Linked DNA regions of Rhinolophus ferrumequinum. The protein of the gene in region 2 purifies or fractionates together with the protein of the main gene of each other region. This does not show direct contact. Links are inferred from orthologs where the notes say so. Each region holds a gene or a part of one and is shown on either strand. Other genes may lie near its edges.

What was found.
Region 1: the proteins of DCP1A (region 2) and UPF1 purify together in Homo sapiens (co-immunoprecipitation; 4 studies listed by BioGRID and IntAct, with this or other methods). This does not show direct contact. The link is inferred for Rhinolophus ferrumequinum from reciprocal best matches to the Homo sapiens genes DCP1A and UPF1.
Region 3: the proteins of DCP1A (region 2) and BAG4 purify together in Homo sapiens (affinity purification with mass spectrometry; 4 studies listed by BioGRID and IntAct, counting the BioPlex papers as one, with this or other methods). This does not show direct contact. The link is inferred for Rhinolophus ferrumequinum from reciprocal best matches to the Homo sapiens genes DCP1A and BAG4.

Annotation. Positions count from the first base shown.
Region 1 is NC_046301.1:51,445,514-51,453,806, reverse strand, and holds the start of UPF1 (regulator of nonsense transcripts 1), read right to left. Parts: upstream 3,199-8,293; 5' UTR 3,080-3,198; coding exon 2,849-3,079; intron 1-2,848. UniProt on the Homo sapiens protein: RNA-dependent helicase required for nonsense-mediated decay (NMD) of aberrant mRNAs containing premature stop codons and modulates the expression level of normal mRNAs.
Region 2 is NC_046300.1:48,755,947-48,763,617, reverse strand, and holds the start of DCP1A (mRNA-decapping enzyme 1A), read left to right. Parts: upstream 1-4,415; 5' UTR 4,416-4,495; coding exon 4,496-4,630; intron 4,631-7,671. UniProt on the Homo sapiens protein: Necessary for the degradation of mRNAs, both in normal mRNA turnover and in nonsense-mediated mRNA decay. Removes the 7-methyl guanine cap structure from mRNA molecules, yielding a 5'-phosphorylated mRNA fragment and 7m-GDP.
Region 3 is NC_046287.1:61,425,321-61,433,163, reverse strand, and holds the start of BAG4 (BAG family molecular chaperone regulator 4), read left to right. Parts: upstream 1-4,645; 5' UTR 4,646-4,699; coding exon 4,700-4,969; intron 4,970-7,843. Other genes in the region: U6 snRNA-associated Sm-like protein LSm1, read right to left, coding at 673-741, 4,111-4,156. UniProt on the Homo sapiens protein: Inhibits the chaperone activity of HSP70/HSC70 by promoting substrate release. Prevents constitutive TNFRSF1A signaling. Negative regulator of PRKN translocation to damaged mitochondria.

The DNA.
Region 1 (8,293 bases), on a different chromosome or scaffold from region 2:
CCTGTGGAATATTATGCAGCAATGAAAAGCAACGGAGTAAATATATATTACAACATGGATGAACCTTGAAAACATGCTCCCTGAAAGAAGCCAGACACAAAAGGCCACATATTGTATGATTCCATTTGTAGGAAATGTTCAGAGTATGTAAATCCAGAGATAAATAAAATTAGTGGTCGCCTGGGGTTGGCGGAGGGAGGACTGTTAGGCTAAGGGGTCTAGGGTTTCTGTTTAGGGTGAAGAAAATGTCTTAAAATTGATTATGGTGGTGTTTGCACAACTCTTTCAGTACTAAAAGCCACTGAATTGTATACTTTAAATGGGTAAATTGTATGGTATGTAAATTCTCTTTCAATAAAACTGTGAAACAAAAGCAGCTGCAACAGCACTTGACACTTTACAACCACTAATCCAGTAAGATTCAATCAAAAGGCATTTAGAATGGGAGGTTTCTGAGTCTCTCTGGCAACCCCGTCACACAGTTCATTCCGCAGCCAACTCCTGAGGACAAACACGGAAAAGCTCCCCAAATGCTGTGACCAGCAAACGCTGTAGGGAGCAAATGCCACCACCTGGCACAGAAGATAATCAATTTTTTTCCACTTTCCAATTCTATTCAGACTTTCCTGCCCCCAAATTCAGGGCCTCCTCTTGTGACACAAACATCACTCCCCTTCCCCAAATATAAATCAAAAATTAGGCTACAGGTATAGGTGGGTGGCTCATCAGGGTAACTAAAAGTAAGGAAGAACAGGCCCTTTTGATGTCATCAGAACTCAAGTGAGCTCCACTGTACTGTTTACCTCCAGTGGGGAGTATTAATGCTTTTATATTGTACAGCTCAGTGTTCAGGTGCAGGAAAATAAATCGATTACTTCAACTGAAAGAGGACACGCCGCAATTAATCACAAATATGAGGAACAAAACTAGAACCCCAGCTGACCCATGTTTGCTGTGTTGTATTGGCTACAGTTAAAAAAAAGATTTGCAAAAAACCAATTACTATTCACAACCCTGCGCTGCCACAGATCGTGGTCACTGCTTGACCAAGAGATCTTTATCCTGGACCTTCTAGACACACTGGGCACAAGTTACAGACAGCACTATCTAGCCCATATGAATGAGTCCAGAGATCATGCATGTTTAAAAGTAACAAAAGTAAAACTGCTATGCCCCCATTTTACAGCTGTGGCAACAGAGAGGTCTACAGAGTCAGACTACAGAAGTGATCACACACCTCCAGGGGCTCTTTCTTCTCTCCAGGCAGACTCTCCCTCTCTCCTCCCTCCCTCCACCACACATAAACAAAACTGAAAAATATACACACTTGCACACCTGTTCTCTCTGATGCCCCACCGATCAGACTTCTATTTTTAAGGAATCTGGGGTTAGAATGAGTCAAATGTTTTTCGCTTCTATTAGGGGCTAAAAGAAATGCCAAGTGGGTGGTCTACCCACGGGAGTGACTCAACCAACGACTCCCAACTAGCACATAACCCTCATCCCCCAGAACAGGGTCTGAGCTCACTCTGGCTGAGGATGGGGTGGTCGCCCCAGCCCAGGCACTGGGACCTCATGCCTTGACACCTGTGATAAGGTGAGCCTTGTAGCTCCTCCCTGGCTGTGAATTCAGGAAAATAAACCTAAGGGACGTGCCAGGCACAGGGAAACCTGGGGAATGGAATCTGAGATCCAGAGGATGATGGAGACATTCCCTGGGACCCTAGTCCAAGACCCTACCACTGGGAGAAAGGAGTCCCTTTCTCCCACTGGGGAGCAGGCATCCAGTTCCAGGAAGTGTACGCCTGATACTTCTCATCCCCCAAATTCAAATTTAAAATACCTAAGTCGCTTTCACTAAACATTCACATCATTAAAAACAAAAGTTTCTGATGTGGCAGATCCATTTATGTAAAACCCACTATCACTGCCCACTGGAGGAACAAACTCAAACCCAACTTTTCCAAGGCAGAGCTGTGGAGTTACGTAACAGGTCGGTTTCAGCAACAGGCAATGCAAGAAGGAAAAACAAAACGCAACCTGCCTCTTGAATAATCGCAAAAGCCAGCGAATGTGGGGTTCTCTCCACCGGAGGCAAAAATTCCATTTGTGCTCCTGGAGCCTGCAGCCTCCGCTCTCCAGTCCCTGGGCCTGAGGAAATTTGACCCTAAGGCTCCGTGGCTGTGAGAAGGGGGGTGTCCAGATGACTGCGACCACAGGTGGGGGGTGTGAGGCACGGTTCCCATTCCGCCAGAGTGGGGACCCGGGCAGATCCTCTGAGATCCAGGCAGAGGGCAACTTGGGGACAAGTCACCCATGACCTGGCAGAGAAGTACGTAGGGCAGGTCACCTCGTACATGCTCGGAAGGAAACCTATGGGAAGTCACCTAAGACCTGGCCTGAGCTAGATCCGGGACAGTTCTTAGGCTTAGGGGGACTCAAGGCAGATCCCCGAGACGCAACCAGAGTGGGACCCGGAGCAGGTCTGCCCTGCGCCCAGGCGGTGTGTGGGACCGGGACTCGTTACTCTGAACCTAGCCAGAGTCGGGGTCCTGAGAGATTACTCCGCACTCGACCTGAACGGGAAACATGGGACCGGTCAGACCAGGCTTAGCCAGAGTGAAGGACCTGGGACAGGTTACCCCGGATCCAGCCGGAGTAGGGGATCCGGGGCAGGTCAGCCCAGGACCGGCCGGAGTCGGGGACCCGGGGCACATTGTTCTGGGCCCAGATGGAGTGGAGAACGAGGGAACAGGTTATCCCGGGCCCGGCCGGAGTGGGGGAGCCGGGGCAGGTCCCCGGGCGCCGAGGCCCGGCCGGGCTTCCGGCGCCGCCATGTGCCGCTCACCTGAGCGTCGAGCTGTCCGCCCGCAGCGCCAGGTCCCGCGCCGACCGGGCCCCCCGAGCCGCCACCTCCGGGACCGCCGGGGCCGCCGGGGGGCGTCTGCGTCTGGCTGGGAAGAGTGAAGTCGGTGAACTCGAACTCGGAGCCCTGCGTGTCAGCGCCGAGCAGCTCGGCCTCCTCGGTGTCCAGGAAGGTGAGCGTCTGCGAGCTGGGGCCGTACGCCTCCACACTCATGGTGCTGCCGCTCAGGGCCCGCTGGCCGGCTCCGCGCCGCAATCGAGCCCGCAGCCGCGCTGAGGCCTAGGCCGCAGGCCTCGGGCCGCCGCCGCCGCCGCGCCCGCGCCCCTGAACCGGACCGAAACGCCCGCCGCGGCACGAGCCGAGCCGAGAGCCGCGCGCCGAGCCGCCGCCGCTGCCTCGGAGCCCCTCGGCACCACAGCTCCTCTCAGAGCCGCCCGCCGCTCGCAACCCCCGGCAGGAACCGCCGCCGCTGCCGCCACCTCCGTGCGCGTGCGCGAGCCCGACGCCGGCGCAGGTGCGCGTGCGCGAGCCCGACGTCGGCGCAGGCGCGCGCTCTTCTCCAACCGCGCCCGGACGCCCAGAGTCGAGTGGGCCGACGGGACGCGCAGTGCGCACGCGCGGGGCGGAGGCGGGGCTATCAACTGCTGTCGCGGCGGCTGCCGGAGCACGTAGTCCCGCCCCAACTGCTGTAGAGGGGTGCTCGCGCGACGGTTGGTGCTGCTGCGATGGTCCACGCTTCTATTGAGCCCTAACTGAATGCCCTACGCAGATGGAGCTGGGGAAGTACACCACCATCTCCTGGAGACGCCCCCTGGTCCTCAGTCTTCCCATCTGTAAAACGGGGGTGTCTGCACACTTAATAGGTGCTCAGTGTGCAGTGGTTCAATAAACGAGTGGGGACAGCCCTGCAGGGATCCTGTTGCTCGCAGAAATGGTGTTTGCTGCTGCCTCAAACAATAATATTCAGAGGCAGTATATAGCAAAGCAATTGGGACCACAATCCAGACCTGACTACCTACCAGCTGTGTGACCTTGTACTAGTGATTTCACCTCTCTGAGCCTTGAGTTTCATGGGAAAGGGAATTAATAACCATTAAGATGAAGAATAAATGAAATACCAGTCACCCCCTTAATATTTATAAAGTTTCACGTGCATGGGGTTGGCTTTATTCATTATAAGGTCTTTTCTATGCGGAGAATAATGCCCCCACACAGTAGGTGCTCAGTAAAAGGTTGTCCAAATTCAGCCGCTGGTTTATGAGCCTAAATCTCCTTAAATTCCGAGCCTCAGGATCCTTTTTTGCAAAATGTTTTGAAGAACCCTCCACTTCCCTTTCTGTCCCAAAATTCTGGGGCCCTCTAAATACTTGAAGTCATCTCACACGGCTCCTGGTTTATTACTGATACTTTATGGTTCCACATTTTCCAGTATTCCTGTCACAACGTGATAAGAGCTTCCTTTTTCCTTCTTCACATCTTCTCTGGCCTCCTGTGCACTGAAATGTGAGGGTATAGAAAATGAATAATTAGATCTCCCCTCCTCCAGGAAGACAGTTTAAGGGGAAATCGGAACAAGCCAACAGATGGTTTCAATAAAATTCAAAGCCTATCCAATCAGCTCAGGTGCCTCAGGAGGGAGCCCAGCCCCAGAATGCAGTCGGGACCAGCTGACCCCCAGGTCCCAATGACATGGTAGCCAGGATTCCAGATGTGTTCCTTAGCCCTCCTTTCCCTGTCACCCCAAGACCTTCCACTCCCTTCCTCTGATAGAGCCCTCTTCATAGCCAGCATTAATCATAATTGTGATTAAATTATTGTCAGTGCGATTATTTGTCTAATGGACACCACTTTTTTGTAGAGGATACAGGCTGTTGAGTGCCCTGCCCAGAACTTTTTTACTGGTTGGCGCACCCCCATGCCAGCTGCTGCAAGTATTGACTGCTAAAGGCTCACAACCACCCCTTGTGAATTGTCCGGGAGCAAACTGTCTCACCAGGGAGGTCATGCCCCCTCTAAAACATATACACCCTAGGAAAGCCCATGCCAAGGACTGAATGGTATGCGGCACAAGAGGCTGAATCCCTCGCAACTAAATGGGACCAGTCTAATGTCATCAGGCTCCAGGGTTCCCCCCTCACCCGGATCAGACTGAGGCTTGATTCCAGCTGAGCCCACTTCCTTAACTTGTCCTGCGTCCTTCACTCCCTCACACATTTCCCCCAAACTCACACCCCTGAATCTCCATCTCAGGCTCTGCTTCTAGAGAACCGATCCAATCCAAGGCAGAAACCAGCTCTCTGAAGGGCAGTAACTGTGTCAGTCTTGTTTGCTGTTCTATACCCAAGGCCTCGTGCAATAGTGAGCACACAATAGGTTCTAAATAAATGTTTTAGGGGACAACTCTTGAGCCCTTGTCACTGCTTGGGTAGAACAACGAAGTGTCCTATTACCCATGTTTAATGAAGGGATGACTAAAAGAATTGTCACATTTAGTCAAAATCTTCGCTTCTCAGTCATCTCTGGCACATTTCTCCCACGATCCTTCCCAGAGATGGCTACCATGAAAAATACTGACACTGTCACACGCTGGTGAGGACAGGGATGAACCAGAACTCTTGTCCAGGCTGCTGGACAGACAAACTGGTGTAGCCGCTTAGAAAGGCAATTTGACCATTTCTTTAAAAGTTAACCGTGGACCCACCATGGGAGCCAGCTTTTCCCATCCTCTGTATTTGCCGGAGAGAAATGAAAGCAGACCTTGTACACAAAGGCTCACAGGAGCTTTATTTGCAATCATCACAAACTGAAAACAACTAGAAAGTCCATCATCAGGAGAATGTATGAACACACAAGATACTTCTCATCAATGAAAAGGTGTGCACTACTGACACTCTCAACAACACGGCTGTACCTCCAAGGCGTAATGCTGAGTGAAAGAAGCCAGACCCAAAAAGCTACATACTGCAAGATTCCATTTATAGGCTATTCTAGAAAGTGCAAACTAACTAATGTAAATGGACAGAAAACAGATCAGAGATTGCCTGGGGAGGGATAGGAGGTAGGCAGGAGGGAACATTTGGGGTGCTTGCTGTATTCACTGTCTTGATCAAGGTGATGGTTTCACAGGTGTGGATGTATATCAAACACATCGAATTGTATACGTTAAACATATGCAGTATTTGGTATGTCAATTATAACTCCATAACGCTGTTTAAAAAAGTAGTGTCCATGACAGTTAGTAGTCTATGAAAAATGTGTGTGTGAGAGAAAACTATAACAAAGGCATTCAAAGCTGGGATGCAGAGATCCGTGTACACGTATGTACACAGCAGCACTAGTAACAATAGCCAAAAGGTAGGAACAACCCAAATGTCCACTGGCTGATGAAGGATAAACAAAATGTGGTCTGTCCATTCAGTAGTATGTTATTCAGTCACAAAAAGGAACGAAGCACTGACACACGCTACAACATGGACGAACCTCCAAAACATCCTGCAGAATGAAAGAAGCCAGACACTAAAAACCTCAGAGTGAATGATTCCATATAAAATATCCAGAATAGGCAAACCCATAGCAACAGAAAGCAGATTAGATGTTAGCCGGGGCTGGGGGTGGGGGGGCGGGAGCTGGAGATGGGGGCTTATCGCTTAGTGGATACTGGGTTTCTATTTGGGGCAACGAGAAATTTTGGAAGTAGATAATGGTGATAGTTGCACAACATTTGGTGAATGTACTTAATGCTCCTGAATTTCATGGTTAAAATGGCAACTTTATATATTTTACCAAAGTAAAAGATTTTTAAAAATAAAATTCAATTAAAAAGAAAAATACATGTATGGCTATATTCTAAGCACATAGGATAGACAGTTGCTGAGTTTGGGTTAACCAGAGCAGGTCTGGATTCACATCCTCGCCCTGCCATTGGCTTGCTGTGTGACCTCTCTCAAATATCTTGGCCTCTCTGTGCTTCACCTGTGAAATGGGATTCCAGTGGCCCTAACACCCTACACATGTTATGTGAAGAACTTAAGGCAGTACCTGGCCACCAGCCATCAAACGCCAGCTCTTTGCGAATGCTTAGTCTTTTTTGCTTTGTCTGCATTTTAATAATTCATCATTGAAATTAAAAAAAAAGAAAAGACTAAAAACATTTCAGACCACACAAAGTCCTCTTGGGCCTTCAGCACAGGTGTGTGTTTCTCTCAGCCCAGGTAGATCTCAACCAGTCCTAGACCCATCCCACTCAGTGACTTAAGCCAACTTTAATTCACCCGCCAGCCCTAAATTCACAACTCTGCCCCACCTGCTGACCCAGCCCGTCCTCGAATTCCATGCCAGCCTCCAAGTCCGGGAAAATAGAATTCTTCTCTCGTACCAAGAGAGGTCCCTCAAGGGTAAGCAGCCGTGGCTGCCACAGGGAAATTCCACAACTTTGGGAAAAGGACATTTAGGATCCTGCAGCTGCTCCCCCAGTCCAGCCACTGGCCTCTTTGAAACCCTTTGTCGGGCTCCAGGCTCCCACAGATGTGGCCCTTGAAACCCCACCCTTGCTGAGAAGTGGCCAGCCCCACTGGACCATGGACTAGACCCCGTCTGAAGCTCCCCCAGGAACAGTGGGTGCTTGTGGGTTTCTGTGGGCCCCCCCCTCTGCAGCCCCATTCTTGCTTCAAAGGAGGCCCTTGTGGGACACGGATGTGTGGCCAAGGCCCCAGTGATGCTGGTGGGAAAAGAAAAATAAGTGTGTGTGTATATATTTTATAGTCTCCTCTGCTCTCTGAATGGTCTCTTTGAAGGTGATGATGGGTCACAGAAGGCCTTGGGTGGGGGGACAGCAGGCAGACACTTTGATTCTAATTCAACCACAGGTTGCTTTTTTGGGGGCACACTGGGGTGTCTGGAGAGGTGGGTTTTGGCCTGGCCTCAAAGCTCCAATTCCTACATCAACTCAAAGCTGCTATTGAGGGCAGCAGGGCCATCTAGCATCTCCCAGAGGAAGACGGCCCCTGGGGGCCCCCTTCATTCCCACACCAGGCTGCACGCTGGTATACATTTTGGGTGGAATTTCACTGTGGCTATTTTAGAAAGTGTTGGGGTGGGAAACTAACTAACACCTCCCGGTGGGCCTGACCCCGTGTCACTGTCCCCAATTCATAGATAGCTGTGTGGCCTCTTCTAGCAGGGAGATAGAAAATAAAATCATCAGAACTCAATAACTGGTGTAGTTGTGTTAGAAGGTAACAAAAGGATCAAAAGGAAAACGGACCGTGTCACACCCACTAGAATGGCCGTAATCCAAAACGGAAAATAACAATAACAAATGTCATGGCTGTAGAGAAATCGGACCCCTCGTGCACTGCCAGTGGGAATGTAAAATGATGCAGCTTGGAAAACAGTCTGACAGTTCCTCAAAAAGTTAAATATAGAGTG
Region 2 (7,671 bases):
GGTCAGTGTAATTTAAGAGTGTGCCAGGCAGAATGGCAGCAAGATACATGATCTACCTGGAAGCCAAGGCTAGAAGATGCTAATCCCAACTCAGCAAATGAATCATTATATGACCTTGGGAAAATTAGCTAGTTTGGTTTCTCTGCCTAAAATGACAAACAGTAATAAGCAGATACTTTTTGAACAGATCTTTAAAATCAGAGAGGGAGAGGGAAAAGAGGAAGAGAAGAGAGATGGAGATGGAGAAAAACTAAACATGGGGAAATTTACAAGACTGAAAATGTGCTGAATGATTGTTCTGGACTATATTAAAACTGTATTTGCTTCAGGAGGCATAGAGCCTAAGAATCAAAATATATTAATACAAGCAAATCAGGCATTATTACTTGTTTAGCACTTATAACAAACAAATGCTTTGTTAGATGTGAAGTTGAAACAACCATCCCTTCTCTCAGGTTTATGCAACAAAGAAAAAACATCCTAACATTCCAATTAATCCAACAAATACGTATTAGATCTTGCCTCTGGCCAGGCACTGAGAATGTGATGGTAAACAAGACAGACGTGGTTCCTGCTTCATTGAACTGACAAGACAGACAAAACGTAAGTAAACTAAAAAATTACAACTTGTCGATGAGTGTTATGAAGAATGTGGACGAAAAAGGGGTGCGGTAATAAATCTAACCGAAAGTAACGTGAGTGATCTGATCATAAATTCCTAACTGGGTAGGTCAGGGTACGAAGTCACGCCCCAGGCCTGCAACTTCTTTAGTAAAAAGTTTTTAAGCCAGCCCTGTCCCTTGTTCTTGTGCATCTAGGTTAACACACCTTTGAAATGCCAGAAGTAATCTTCTTTTCCTGACCCCTCAAGGAAGCACTTAATTTTGTTAGCTACTGTGTTTCCCCAAAAATAAGACCTAGCCAGACCATCAGCTCTAACACATCTTTTGGAGCAAAAATTAATATACGACCTGGTATTATATTATATTATATTATATTATATTATATTATATTATGTTATATTATAAGTAAGACCGGGTCTTATATTAATTTTTGCTCCAAAAGACACATTAGAGCTGATGGTACGGCTAGATCTTATTTTCGAGGAAACATGGTATTCTGTAACTTGCTTTCTCCCACCTTCTTGTAAGCTTCCTTCCATCCCCTCCTTAATTCTAAATGTATAAAAGAAGCTGCAAAACTGTCATTCTCCAGAGATTTAAGATGTTGCTTCCCAGCATGTCGTCAGTTTGGCTTGAGTAAATTCTTATAAAAATTCTCTACAGGTTTGGACATTCTTATGTTGATGAGAAAGTGAGGAAAGGGACGACAGGATATCACAGAGATACCAGAGAGAGGAATGTTCCAGAAAGGGGAATAACAAGTACAAAGACCCTGAGGCATGACTCATTTGGGGTATATATGGGAATAGCAAGGAGGTTGGAGGCTAGGAAGACTAGGGTGGAATAACTGAAAGGGCAATTCATGGAAAGTGGAGATGGAAAGGCAGCAGGAGGCCGGACAGAGGAATGTCTCCCAGGCCATGACAAGGACTTTGGATTTTACACTGGAGAAATGGGAAGTCTGTGACTAACTGACAAAGTTACACAGCTGGCAGATTTGGAACTAAAACACTGACCTTCTGACAAGGATTCTAGCCAGTTCTACCTTAGACCCCATGATTTTAAATGGAAAGTTTTTTCTTTTTTTACAAAGCCACCCAGTCAGAGAGACGTGGGGTTTGGATGATTGGAGTTTACCTTTTCATATTTTAAATTATTTGTATTTTAAAAAAAAATAATTGACATGAAACACAACTCAAAAGTGACCAAAGGTTTTCCAGTGCAGAGTTAAGACTCCTTCCCACCTCTGATCCCAGGCACCCACCTCTTTTTAGTCTCTTCTATGGCCTTAAAGGTGTTGGATTTTAAGATGACATTCATTCACTAACACTTATTGAGTCTACTCTGCCAGGGGCTGTGCCAGGTACTGGGGACCTAATAGACTAAGGTGAATCTCTGCTCTCTCAGAGCCTATTACCTGCAAGACACAAGAAATGACTTAATGGGGTGGCCAGGTGGCTCAGTTGGTTAGAGCGCAGTGCTCATAACACGAAGGTCACAGGTTCGATTCCCACATGGGCCAGTGAGCTGTGCCCTCCACAACTAAATTGAAAACAACTTGATTTGGAGTTGATGGTCCTGGAAAAACATACTGTTCCCCAATAAATAAATAAATAAATAAATAAATAAATAAATAAATAAATAAATAGAAATGACTTAACGTTTGATTGACAAATATTTTAAGGCAAAATCAGACCGCACAGTAAGAAAGGATGATTTTCAATTCCAAAATTATCACATTCTCTTTAATAAATTTTATGAGCTATATAGGGCATTAAAGACATTAACATGTTTTGGGGCACAGAAACGTGCATTTTGAAGGGATTTTCTATTCTGAATATGAAAACTCCCTAAAATATCTTGGTGTTCTTCACTAGTCTAGCCCTGCTCGATCAAAAATAATAAATAAAGGATGTCTTACATTATCTTAGGAAATCTATGTAAAAAAAAATAACTAATGAATAAGTCAGGGATGTAATGTACAGTATGGTGACTATAGTTAATAATACTGTATTGCATATTTGAATGTAGCTAGGAGAGTGGATCTTAAAAGTTCTCAACATAAGGAAAAAAACTGTAACTATTATAGTGACCGATGTTATCCGGACTATTGCAGTGATCGTTTTGCAATATATACAAATATCAAATCATTATATTGTACACCTGAAACTAATATGTTATACGTCAATTATACCTCAATAAAAAAATAATAATTTTTAGAAAGAAAAAATCAAATTCAGTTTCAGGTGCGCCTTTGAATTTTGTACCTATTCAAAAAGTACTTACATTGTATGTGGTTTTTTTTTTTAATTAGGGTACAGATTGTTCAAATGTTTGTCTGAAAGTAGGTGTACAGCTGTGTCTTCAGGAGGAAGAAAGGCAGCCAGGCTGTAGAGAAAAGGACCGTGGGGTAAAAGGGAGGAGTCCCAGTATTCTTATACCAGATCCCGACTCCTGTGGATCTTTAAGCCAGTGAGTTCTCCACCAGGCTTCAATTAAATCATCTGTCCAACGAGGAGGACCACACTTTCTCTACCTCACCATTGGAGTGTGAAATGGAAGGAGCTACTAACTCCTGAAGCACTAATTCAAACATTACCTCCTCCATGAAGCCTTCCTAGACTTTCTTGAGGAGATGGAGTCGGTGGTTCCATCCTCTAGGTTCAAGAGAACCATCTCTAACACTGTCCCAATTTCCTTGCATTGTCCTACTGCTTGGGGTTTCTCCCAGAGCCAGGTAGTTGTCTTAAGCCGTCTTTGAGGCTCCCAAAGGCCTACCAGTTCATATGTAGTTAGGAGTTCATTAAATACTTGCTTAATGAATAATACCTGTTTCCTTGTTTGCATTTGTACATGCTTCTTATGTGATTCTGAAAAGAATGTAAGACATGAATCCTCTTTCCATTAACAAATCGTCCTGGGATGTAAAATCATAAACAATACTTATGTTATGGGGGTTTTTCATTTCAAAAAATTACATTCCATTGGAGTATTTTTTCGATTTAAAAAAATTTTTAAGGGGGGGGGGGACACAGAGCTCCCTCCAAGTCTCTACACCTTGTTCTTCTCTAGCTAGTACCTAGCTCTTTAAAATGCCTTAAAATGTCCAAGAAATGTTTACTAAAAGAATGAGCTATTTTTTAAAATCTTTAAATGATGCACGACAAACTCAAGCCTTCCCAGGCTCTTCCCAAGACAGGATGTAAAGATTTACCTGGGATTCAGACGTGGAAAATAAGGAACAAAAATGGATAGCAAGACACTCCTGTGTAGTTACATGAGGATTCGTTTGGCTTTTTCCAAAATTTTCTTTCAGAAAAATACCAAATTGCTAACGGTAGTGATCTAGTGAGCTCTTAGATCTGGGGTAAGTTTCGGGGTCTCTCCCCGAAGAGAGGTCTCTACCTCCCCGCTTCTCTGTGCTTTCTAAACGGCCCGGGGAGCCTTTCATTGCCACGGCGAGGTTTTCGTTCTACCGCCCCGGGCCCTTCCCGTGAGCCAGCCGAAGTAGGCCCGCGTCAGTCTCCAACCTCAACCGGCAGGAGCTCGGAGAAAACTCGCGGGCACCTTGTTCCGGACCTCGGGACAGTTTAGTCCGCGGAAAGGAAGCGCCTGGACACCCGCCTGCCAGCTCAGCCGCATTTAGGTGTACGCGGAGACAGATGGCTGGGGACCTAGGACCCAAGGACGCCGGAACCTGGTGCCCGGGGGATGAGCGCAGCGGAGCATAATAGCTAACGTAGCGCCCCGCTGCAAGGCCCAGCGGAGAGGCGGAAGTTGCAGGCGCTGACGCACTGGGGGAATTTTGCCTCGAAGGCACCTTCCTGTCCGCGACTCCGCCCCCTCGGAGGGGCTCGGCTCCGGAAATCAAGATGGAGTCGTTGAGTCGAGCTGGGCAGGAGATGAGCTTAGCGGCCCTGAAGCAGCACGACCCCTACATCACCAGCATCGCAGACCTTACTGGTCAGGTCGCTCTATACACCTTCTGCCCCAAGGCCAACCAGTGGGTGAGTGCCGCTAGGACACTGAGGTCGCCCGCCGGGCTGCCGCCTCTTAAAGGGGCCGCGCGGACCACCCTGGGCTGGGGGCGATGCTGGAGGCCAAGGCGGCATAGACGCCTCCAGGGGCTGGAGGAGAGCCTGGCCGGCGCCTGAAGGATGTTGGGGGCCCGGGATTGGGAGAGAGGTGCAAGAGAAGTAGGGCCCAAAACATCCGGGGGAAAAGCCGATAGAGGGGAGGATTGGAGGAGGGTCAGTCTCCCCTTAGGGTCGGGTTCGGGGATGTGGGCGACCTGCCTTCTTCGCAGATGTGTTAGAGGATATGAGACCGGTGGGGTCAGAAAGATGCCTGAAAGATGGAGGGTTTGAGGGGCATTAATTAAATTACATATACATAATCTATAAAGTAAACATTCCTCCCTCCCCCCCACAAACACGTAAATAAGAGCCCCTTTCGCACAGGTATTTGGATTTAAAGCTTGAAATCCAATTAGTTTCAATTCTTGGAAAAGAGGAAGTGGGGATAGTCCGTCTTTTATCGAACTACACTGTATTTCCAGAGTTTTGGAAAAGAATTCAAGGCACTTAGAAAAAGGGCTCTCACATTAGTTGGATTCCCTTGAAACCTTTGGAAAAGAGACCCTGTAAATGTGTCTCGTTCCACCTATGCTGCTGGTGATGTCACCTCCAAAATCTCACATCAGACTAAATACTTTTAAGCTTTTTTTTGCACGCGAGGGGATCCGAAAAGTTACAGTCTGTTCACTGAACTGATTTGTTGACCCATTTGAAGCTTCGTTTGTTGTTTAAAACTACAATTTTCTGTTTTCTAGAATTGACCCTTAATGAACTCATTCAGTTATAGGCTTTACATTTACACTTAGAAAATAATCGTAAATATTTGATGGATTGAATTCATAAATTATTGATGTTCACATTTCAGTAAGAAACAAAATTCTTATGCTAACAAAACTCTGAAAGATGATCATCGTAGTATGGTCCTTTACAATATAATACAGATATGTTATATTTATACAGTAACTTTGTGAAAATCATTTGGCATTTTTAATTCAGATGAAAACAGTTGTCAAAATATCTTGCTTTGTATTCTTCTTTCCTTGATCTGGAAGAGGTATGAGAAGCCACAAAGAACAAAATTACAGATTTCTTCTTTTTTTAAGTGTAGCCGTTTTAGACATTGCCTTAATTTGAATTGTTCTGAATAATTTTTCTTTTCTTGGTCTACACATAAATTTGTGAAATATGGATTGCAGACAAATGTTGAAGACTTGGGCAAGGATTGATTTACTAACCAGCTTTTCTAATTTTTCACAGACTTTGAATTTTTTGGAATGTTAATTGTGGAGTTCTTTAAAAATAGAAATACAAGCCATAATAACCTGAATTGAGAAATAAGCTGCCATTGTTTGTTCATTTGGATTATGGCACATAGAGCATAACTAAAATCTTTTCTCTCTTTGTTATTTTACAGTGAGTTGTGACTGCATAGTGTTTTGTTTGGGCATGTTTTCTTTCACTGTGAGACAGTTGATTACCAATTTCTTATACTAATAACAAAATTGAAAGTCAAGAAAAAGCCTCTGAATCCTTAGGAAGGAAAAGCTCCATGATGATACATAAACTAGGGCAATACTCCTAGAAGAAATCAAGATAATAATTTTTAAAAAAAATTTTATCCCAACAAATTCAATTTGATAAAGTTTTCTAACAATTTGTTGATTACATTAAAATATTTGGGCCCTATCTGGACTGAAATGCAGACTAATATGGTTATTTGTTTTTGTTTTTTAAGATATTGTCACTATATTTAAGACCTAAATACACTCTTGTCACAGCAAATTAAAGAAGGTTGTGAGTTGTACTTTCTTAATCAAAACATTTCACTTTAAGCTAAAAAAATTTTTTTAATTGTTTGTAAAACCTACAATAATTACATTAAGCCAGAGAATTGTTTCAGTATTCATGATGCTTCAACAAAGTTCTAAAAATAACAAACTAGTTGTGTTTGACAGTAATTCTTAACTAACCACATTTGATACTCAATGAAAGTATACCCAAATCCCCCAATGATGAAACAAAGTATCCTATAAGATAAAATTTCCTTTTTTTCCCCTACTAAATTTGAGAAACTTTACAAGTGAAGAAATTGCTGTACCAAGGATCTTGCTTTAAAATTTAAAAATCTGGGAGGCCCTATGGCTCAGTTGGTTAGAGCGTGAGCTCTGAACAACAGGGTTGCGGGTTTGATTCCCACATGGGCCAGTGAGCTGCACCCTCCACAACTAGATTGAAGAAAACGAGCTGCCGCTGAGCTTCCGGAGGGGCGGCTGGATGGCTCAGTTGGTTAGAGTGCGCACTCTCAACAACAAGGTTGCCGGTTCAATTAAAGATTGAAAACAGCAACCGGACTTGGAGCTGAGCTGCGCCCTCCACAACTAGATTGAAGGGCAACGACTTGGAGCTGATGGACCCTGGAGAAACACACTGTCCCCCAATATTCCCCAATAAAATTTATTTTTAAAAAAATTAAAAATCTGGCTAAAACGTTTTTGCTTTAAAAAGTGAAAGCTAATTCTAGGTTTTTCTCCTTTAAAATTTGTAAAAGAAAAATGCTGCAGATACAGGCATGTTGCTGGATCAAACATTGCATGTACGTTAATATGCATCAATAGCATGGAAAGGATACCAAAAAATCTGGTAACAGTAGTTGTGGAGAGAGAGACTTACTTGACCTGTTCAAAAGTGATTAATTTTAGAATAAATAAGTTGATCTTTTCTGTTTTGTTTTGTTTTTGAAAAAGCATTGAGCTGGTCTTTTTATTTTTTTCAATTACAGTTGACATTCAGTATTATATTAGTTTCAGGTTTACAGCATGATGGTTCGACATTTATATAATTTACAAAGTGATCCCCCTGATAAGTCTAGTACACACCTGGCACCATACATAGTTATTATAATATTATTGACTATATTTCCTATGCTGTACTTCATATCCCGTGTAAATAAGTTGTTCTTAAACATGAAGTAT
Region 3 (7,843 bases), on a different chromosome or scaffold from region 2:
GAAAAAAAGCAGATTATCTATGCGCTTATCTTCTATAACTCTTACAGGTGTTTCAATTGTTGTTTTTCCTCCTGCCTAAATCCACTGACCTAACAGATGTTTACCACATGGTGAGATGAACTAGAAGTTTCTTGAAACAGAAGCAACTATAGATGTCTTCAGAAAAATGCAGGAGCAAAACAAAAGACCAAGACTCTTGAGTCTGACGTATTCCTAAGTGTAAAATCTTGAGCTTAATGTTGGAGTCCCTAAAAAGCTTCGGGAAATGCCTTCTATCCAATTTTCTTTGGACGGGGTGGGGTTACATTCAGTGCAGGAACTGCTCTGCAGAGTAGTTGCACCTGAGCCAACGTACAAATGAGCAGCTTTTTCATTGGACTGAGTTTATTTCTATCATTTGGTCCCTCTCATTGGGAAATTAAAAAAATAGTCCAAAACATTGTATGTTTTCATGAGAACCAGTTTTAGAATTACAAACTTGTAAGTGCAAGCTTTTAAACAATCTAATCATAATTTAGGAAACAATGATGTAATGACTCAAAACAGTATTCCATTATGCCAGACACGTGAAAAAGTTGGCGATAAATAAATTTCAATATGAAATAACACAAAAAATACAATGGGCAACTCGTATTATCTAGAGTATAGGAGAAGTCCACAACTAATACATACCAAACTGATCAATGCTTCTCAAAAAGCCTATAAGCGTCCTTCCATCTCGAAGAAGGACCAAGTGCTTTTCTGGGAAAAGGAAAAAAGATCTTTAAAAATGAAAACTGTTAGCATCAGTGAGTTTACAGGGTAACAACAAAAATAAAGTTAACAGCAGTTTACTTCTACCACTTCCTCTTCCCATGTATTTAAGGTGGAGTTTATTGGGAAATTAGAGGGAGGACCAAGGCAGCCTAGGTTACAAGATTAGTGGTGAAAAAAATCATAGTGTGGCAAAGTAGAAAAAGGACTGGCTGAGTAGTCAGGAAGCCTGACTGGCTCTAGACGTTGATGTTTGACAGTTACACCTCCTCAGTGTCATGTCAAGTTTCTGTATCTGCAAATTGAGAAATTTAGTCTGGATGATCTTTATGATCTTAATTCTAGAATTGTTTCCCTTCAACTTAGAAGAGCTTCTATTTCACACTTTGGAGTCAGGGAAGATTTTAAATTAAAAACAATACCTCAGACATGTAAAATGAGGATGCTGATAATAAGCTAGAGCAAAAATTCAATAATATTTATTGAAAGCTACGTGCTGTTCTGGAGCCTCTATATACAGTACTGAATAAAACTCAGAGATTCACCAACCTTATGAACTTATATTCCTGGTGGAGGAAGGCAAACAAATAAAAAAATGACCTATGGTGATCACTACTATGGAATAATAAGTAAGATAGCAGGATAGTAGGATGAAAAGAAAGTAGCTACAGAAGAGAGGGTGGCTAGGGAAAACCTCTCTGAAGAGGTGACTTGGAGCTGACTCTGAAAAATGACAATAAGCCAGTCACTAGAATAACTAGCAAAGATCATTCATTTGTTTCTTTAAGACCACACATAAAGTACTTCATAGATGTAGAACAGAGGAACAGGGTGCTTCTTCCCGGAAGGAATTTATAATTTTCCTTGGGCTATAATTAAGTACCATAAGAGAGCACATCTTAATTATATGAGACTGAGAGAAATTCGAGCTGGAGGCTGTATCTGAGTTGGTTCTTGAAAGTTAGATAATTTTTGTTCATGGGAAGAGTGACAGCGAAGGGGATGGTTTGGGAAATCTGTAATTTAGATAGGAGGAAAAAAAGGGCTATGTATCCATATGTTTGGAGAAGAGTTGACGGCATGGAGAGAAATAACAGGAACGAAGTCAGAAAAAAGAACTGGGAGCAGGTTGAGTCTGGGTTTGATTTTATAGGGAACAAGAAAACACATTGAAGACTGAACTGGCAGAAAAGGGAGAGCAGCTGAGGCTATTTCCAGTGTCTGGAACATGAAGAGACCTGAACCAAGGTAGGGATGAGAAGGGCAAGGATGGAAGTACTAAAACTGTGCAGTTTAAAGTAATGGGATTTGTCAACTAATTGAGTTTGTATATGCGGGTAGGTGTGAGAGAGTGTGGTGCTAAAGAAATAAGTTAAGCAGCGGTAGGCATTTTGCGTCATCATCAGGGAGGACCACTTACCAAAAGTCTGGAGTAAACAAAGCAAGCTCAGGGTGGAAGATTATTAGCTGTTTGTAATTCTGAAGTGCTATCAGGACACTTAGGTAGAAATGTCAACAGATAATTGGAAATGTAAGACTGCCAAAGAGGTCTGAATTAGAGCAATTTCGGATTGCTCTAATCCACAAAGAGGTGATATAATTATTAAAGTCCAGGAGATCTCCTAGAGATTTAAAGAAAGAAGCAGGTCAAACATGGAACCTAAGAGACCATCTATTTTAGGGAACAGTAAGAGGTAGAGAGGTAAGAAAATCAACAACTACTAGTATTGAAGAAATCCAGAGTACAGAATTAAGAATCCAGTGGTAATAGTTGCAGTGCTGCAGAGGGGAGGGGAAGACTCAGAAAAGTGCCCTAGACTGATGCCTTTTAAGAATGCAGCTTCACTAGTGTGTGGACAACAAAAATCAAATTGCAGGTGGTCAGGACGAGTCAAAATGGAGATGACTCAAAAGGTTTGGGGGTAAAGATATGAAAAAAGGGATGGGAGTTTGAGGAGACACAACTGAAAAAAAAAATTGAGATGGACAAAAACATGTGAAAGGAAGGATCCAGGAGGAGAGAGAAAGATACAAGGTGTGAGAGAAAAAGGATATTAATGGCAGAAGGTTCCAGAAACAGTGAGAGGAAAGAGTAATAAAAGACAAACTGAAAGGAAGGAATACTTCCTACTCAATGAGAGGACGGGTGAAAATACAGAAAGACTAAGGAGAGAGGAGGCAAGTGTGTGGGAGGTGCAGTGAAGAGTACATATGAAATGGTTTCGAACATTTCAGTAAAGGAGGGGGCCTGGAATCTACAAACAAGAGGTTAGAAGGCTTAAGAACAAAACTTATTTTTAATAGAACGACAGGATGTGTTAGGGCCTCAAATAATTCAGATACATAAAAAGAGAGGTGAGGGCAAAATGGCATCCTCAGACAACTTAAGATTTCATCACACATTAGAGATAGGCTTGTACAGTGGTTAGTTACATGTACGAATTTGGTCCAATTTACACTGTATTTCCCTTCAATAGCAAAATCACTAATTTGGATTTAAAAAATGATCTCAGACAATAAAAAGTTTAATTACACACTCACTCTAATCTGTATATATAGTAACTGTAGAGATTGTTGTAACTTGTTTGGAACTGTGTGTAAACCATTTTGCAGCAATTACAAGTTAATGAGACAGGATCACACAAAACATTTACAAAAATGTTGCTTGAGGAATAATTCACAGATGACAGTTTAGCAAAAGGACAGACTATATATATATGTATATGTATATATATATATATATATATCCTCTTTCATACAGGACTGAATTCCTCTTCAGGATAATGATTAAGAATAAGGGAGGTCTTCTTAAGTAAAAGCAAAAGAAAATTGTTGAACAGAAAAAAAAGAAGTGAATCAACTCTGCCTTTCCAGAAAAGTCAATACCTTGTCTGGCAGTGGTCTCTGCTACCATAATTTGAAAGTACTAAAGACCCTTACGGTAAAAGAATATTGCAAATGACTACACAGCATAAAGCCTATGTTTACTGCCAATAAGTCCAAATGCTATTAATATTCTCATTTCTTGATGAATGCTTTAAGCATTCTCATTCATCCACCAGTAACAACCTGGTACTTCAGCAGCGTCCCTGGGAAGCAGGACTGAATGGTACAGCTTGTGGTTGACCAGCCGGTGCAGGCTGCGTGGGGCAGGACGGAGGTAATAGAGGTCGTAGGCTAGGAGGTAGGCAAAGGGTGTGTCCCGTGGCTCCTCCATCCCGTGGAGCATGTCAACACCAAACACCCAGAACTGTGCTCAAATCACACCGCCCCCCGCCCCAGACTCGTTCTACGAGCTTCCTCGAAAGAGGCACCCTTCGGGGAGGAAGGGTCTCACCCCAAACTGATTTAACTCACTGTCGATGTCCTCGATGAGGCTGGCGGTGCCTGGCATATAGTTCATTTTGAACTGAGATAAGACTGCAGTGTATAGCTGCGGTGGGCCAGCGTGTGCAACACCTCCCTCCTCCTACCGGAGTCGCCGCCTCGTCGGAACCGGGACAGTAACCCGGACCGGGACCAGCGCGTCCGCCCCGGCTTTCAGCCGCAGGGGCCTGCCGGAAACTCCTCCATAATATCCCTACCTACTTCCGGTACCACGTGCCCATCGTCTGGAAGAGGCGGGACCGTCGTGCGGTCCGGGGACACACTTTCCCCATCTGAGGAGAGGGAAAGAGGAATCTACATGGCATAGGTGATGGGAAAACGTAGTCTCCCTTTCAAGGAACACGGTGCAGCCCCTCGTTTTCCTGCTTCCCAGACCCCCAGAGTCACGGACCTTCGTCCATCAACTCCCAGGCGTCCGCCGCTGAAGGGGCGGTACCAGGCCTGGGATTGGCTGTTGTCGGCCGACCCCCTTCATTGTTGTCCATTCCCTGTCGCTGGCAGGGGCCTGCGCAATGAGCCGGCCGTGGGGGGCGGGAAGCGCTTCGGGGCAGCGGTGCCCATGTCGGCCTTAAGGCGCTCGGGCTACGGCCCCAGTGACGGTCCGTCTTATGGCCGCTACTATGGGCCTGGGGGTGGAGATATGCCGGTGCATCCACCTCCACCCTTATATCCTCCTCGCTCTGAACCTCCTCAGCCTCCCATTTCCTGGCGGGTGCGCGGGGGCGGCCCTGCTGAGACCTCTTGGCCAGGAGAAGGCGGAGGAGGCGATGGCTACTATCCCTCTGGAGGTCCCTGGACGGAGCCGGGTCGAGCTGGAGGAAACCACCAGGTAAGCTTTGCGCCATCTGTCCTAGGAGGTTCTGGGAGGGGGTTCTTTGGGAGTGAGGTCCATTGGGATTAGTATACCCCCTGAGTTCGTATCGGATCGGGTTTCATATTTGTTTTCCTTATTGGGGGGTTTGTAGAAATAAGACTGGGCTCGTGGGTGGGGAGATATGCTTGTGTTCTGTTTGCCCCTCCTTTTCTGCTTCGACCATAATAAATGTCTATTACCATTAAAAAAGGAAAAAAGATCCTGCGCTGACTTGCTAAGCTAGGTAGAGGATGCGGAATGTCGCCTGGGAACGATGTTGGGCTGAAGTGACCCGGCTCTGCTTTTTGAGCTCTAGCAATTTATCCTGCGTGGCTCGTCAGGCCTGCTCTCCCCCCGAGAAGGGAGGTGGCTGCAGCCCCCGCCGTCATTCAGCAACCTCTTCCGCGGGGAAGGAATTTAGGAAGGAGGTGGGGGGAATGTGGGCATTTATTTAGCCCTTTGTCCCTAATGCTTTGCCTGGGATTGACTCAACGAATAATCAGCGTTGGGAAGTATTTTTACGTGGATTGTTTTATTTAATCTTCACGGCGACTGCAACATAAATGTCATTTATGTTGATCCTAATAGTGACCCTATTAAAGAACTGTTGGCTCTGAGAGGTTAACTCAACCTGCTCAATATAGTCGGACCTATAACATTTCTTATATTCTTGCCAGAAACGTACAGTACTTCTGTTTTGTTAATGCAGTATTTTTCGTAGAGAATTATTACACAATGTGTGTGGGGGGGTCACATCTCTCTTTCAGAAATTATAACACCCTCATTGTTTGAAAATGTAGTAGTGAAATTCCCATACATTGCTGGTGGGAATGTAACATGGTTCAGTGCTTTGTAAAGTAGTTTGGCAGTTCCTCAAAATATTAAGCACAGAGTTAGCATATTACTCAGCAAGTCTGCTCATGGATATACCTGGGGGGGGGTGCCCAAAAAAGATTTATACACATTTTAGGATATGTTATCTGTGCTCAAGCAGTAGTTCGTGGTAATCAGAAGTGTCTGGACGCTGATGGTAACCATTTTGAACACCTCTTGTAATTGCAGAAGTCAAACGTGACTTGTTTCATCTTTTGTTATCCGTATATGTTGAGTATTACAATTAATACAGTTTTTCCCTTTTAAAATGTGTATACATTTTTTTGGCACGCTCTGTATATGCAAGAGAATTGGAAACATATGTGTATTAAAAACTTGTATATGCATTTTCACAGCAATGTTATTCATAATGGCCAAAAAGTGGAAATAACCCAAATGTCCATCAACTGATGAATAGGTAAAATATGGAATGTTCGTACAATGAAATTATGTAGCCATAGAAAGGAGTGAAGTACTGTACATACATTCTACAACATGGACGAACCTAGAAAACATCATACTACGTGAACAAAGCCAGTCAGATAGACCACATATTGTATGATTTCATTTATATAAAATGTCCAGAATAAGCAAATCTGTAGAGTCAAACATTAGTGCTTGCCAGGGTTTTGGGGACTGGGGACATTGGGAGTGATAGATAAAAAGTAAGGGGTTTCTTTTTGGGATGATGAAAATATTCTGAAATTAGATAGTGACGATGATTATACAACTTTGAAGATGCTAAAAACCATTGACTTGTACACTTAAAAGGGTAGGTTTTATGGTATGTTAGTTGCATCTTTAAAAAGTTGTATGAGAAAAAAGCATGTAGTAGTGAGAGGTTAATTATGAAGAGAGTTCCATATTTTCTGTCTAAATCTAGAATAATTAGCCTGTGGGACTTGAATCCCTTGGTAGAGTAGAGTGATGAACTGTTTGGTCTATAAGTAGGCAAATTAGACCAAAGACCAAGGGAGAGGAGAGGACCACTGATGACTTCTACTTGGGCTTGCAGTATTATCAAAACAAAAGTGTGTTTTAGGGGTGAGGTTAGAGAAGTTAAGATGTTAGTATTGTGTAGATGTAAGGTATGGATGGAGCATAGCGTGTACATAGGCTGGGTGATGGTGCTGCAGTAGTTGGAGATAAAGCTGGGATGTGTACTGGACGTTCATAAACCATTTCAAGAGTTTATCTTCAGATTGATGTTTCTGAAACTTGAAAAGTATAGGATTATAATCTATGCAGCAATAGAAAATTAATACAAAAGATTTGCATGTTGCAAATGTTTTTTTTTCCAAATTTGTTTGTTTTTTAACTTTATTGTGGTTGTGATATATAAGTTTTACATTTTTTACATAATCAAATATGTCAAACAAACAAAAGGTATAGGAGCCTTTTAAAACCGTACTACTCAAAAAGTGTGGTCCTTTGACCAGAAGCTTCAGTGTTGCTTGGAGGTTGTTAGAAATGCAGACTTTCCTGCTCCAGACTTGCTGCTGCATTTTAATAAAAGCCCCAGGTGATTTGTATGCATGTTCACATTTGAGAAGCACAGCTCTATAGAATTGGATATATTGAGATAATGTTGCAGTGAACCACTACAAAAACTTGACTCTCTACATTTAAATATGGCAGGAGAAAAAACCCAGAAATCTACCTTTCCCTGTTTTCTTTCTTTTCTTACTTGGTTAGCTGTACTTGGCAGCATTGTAGTTTGATCCCTGAACTAGCAGCATCTGCATTACTTAGGAGCTTGTTGGAAATGCTGTATCTCAGGCCCTGCCCCAGACTTACCGAATCAGAATGTGCATTTCACCAAGATCTGTAGATGATTTTCATGTTCTCCCAGAATGAGAGAGGAGAGAGAGAGAGCGAGAGAGAGATCTGACATGGAAGCAGAGGCGCTGATTGGATTATAACCTAATCTCGGAAGTGATACACCATCATACTGGTCATAGAGACCAACACTGGTAC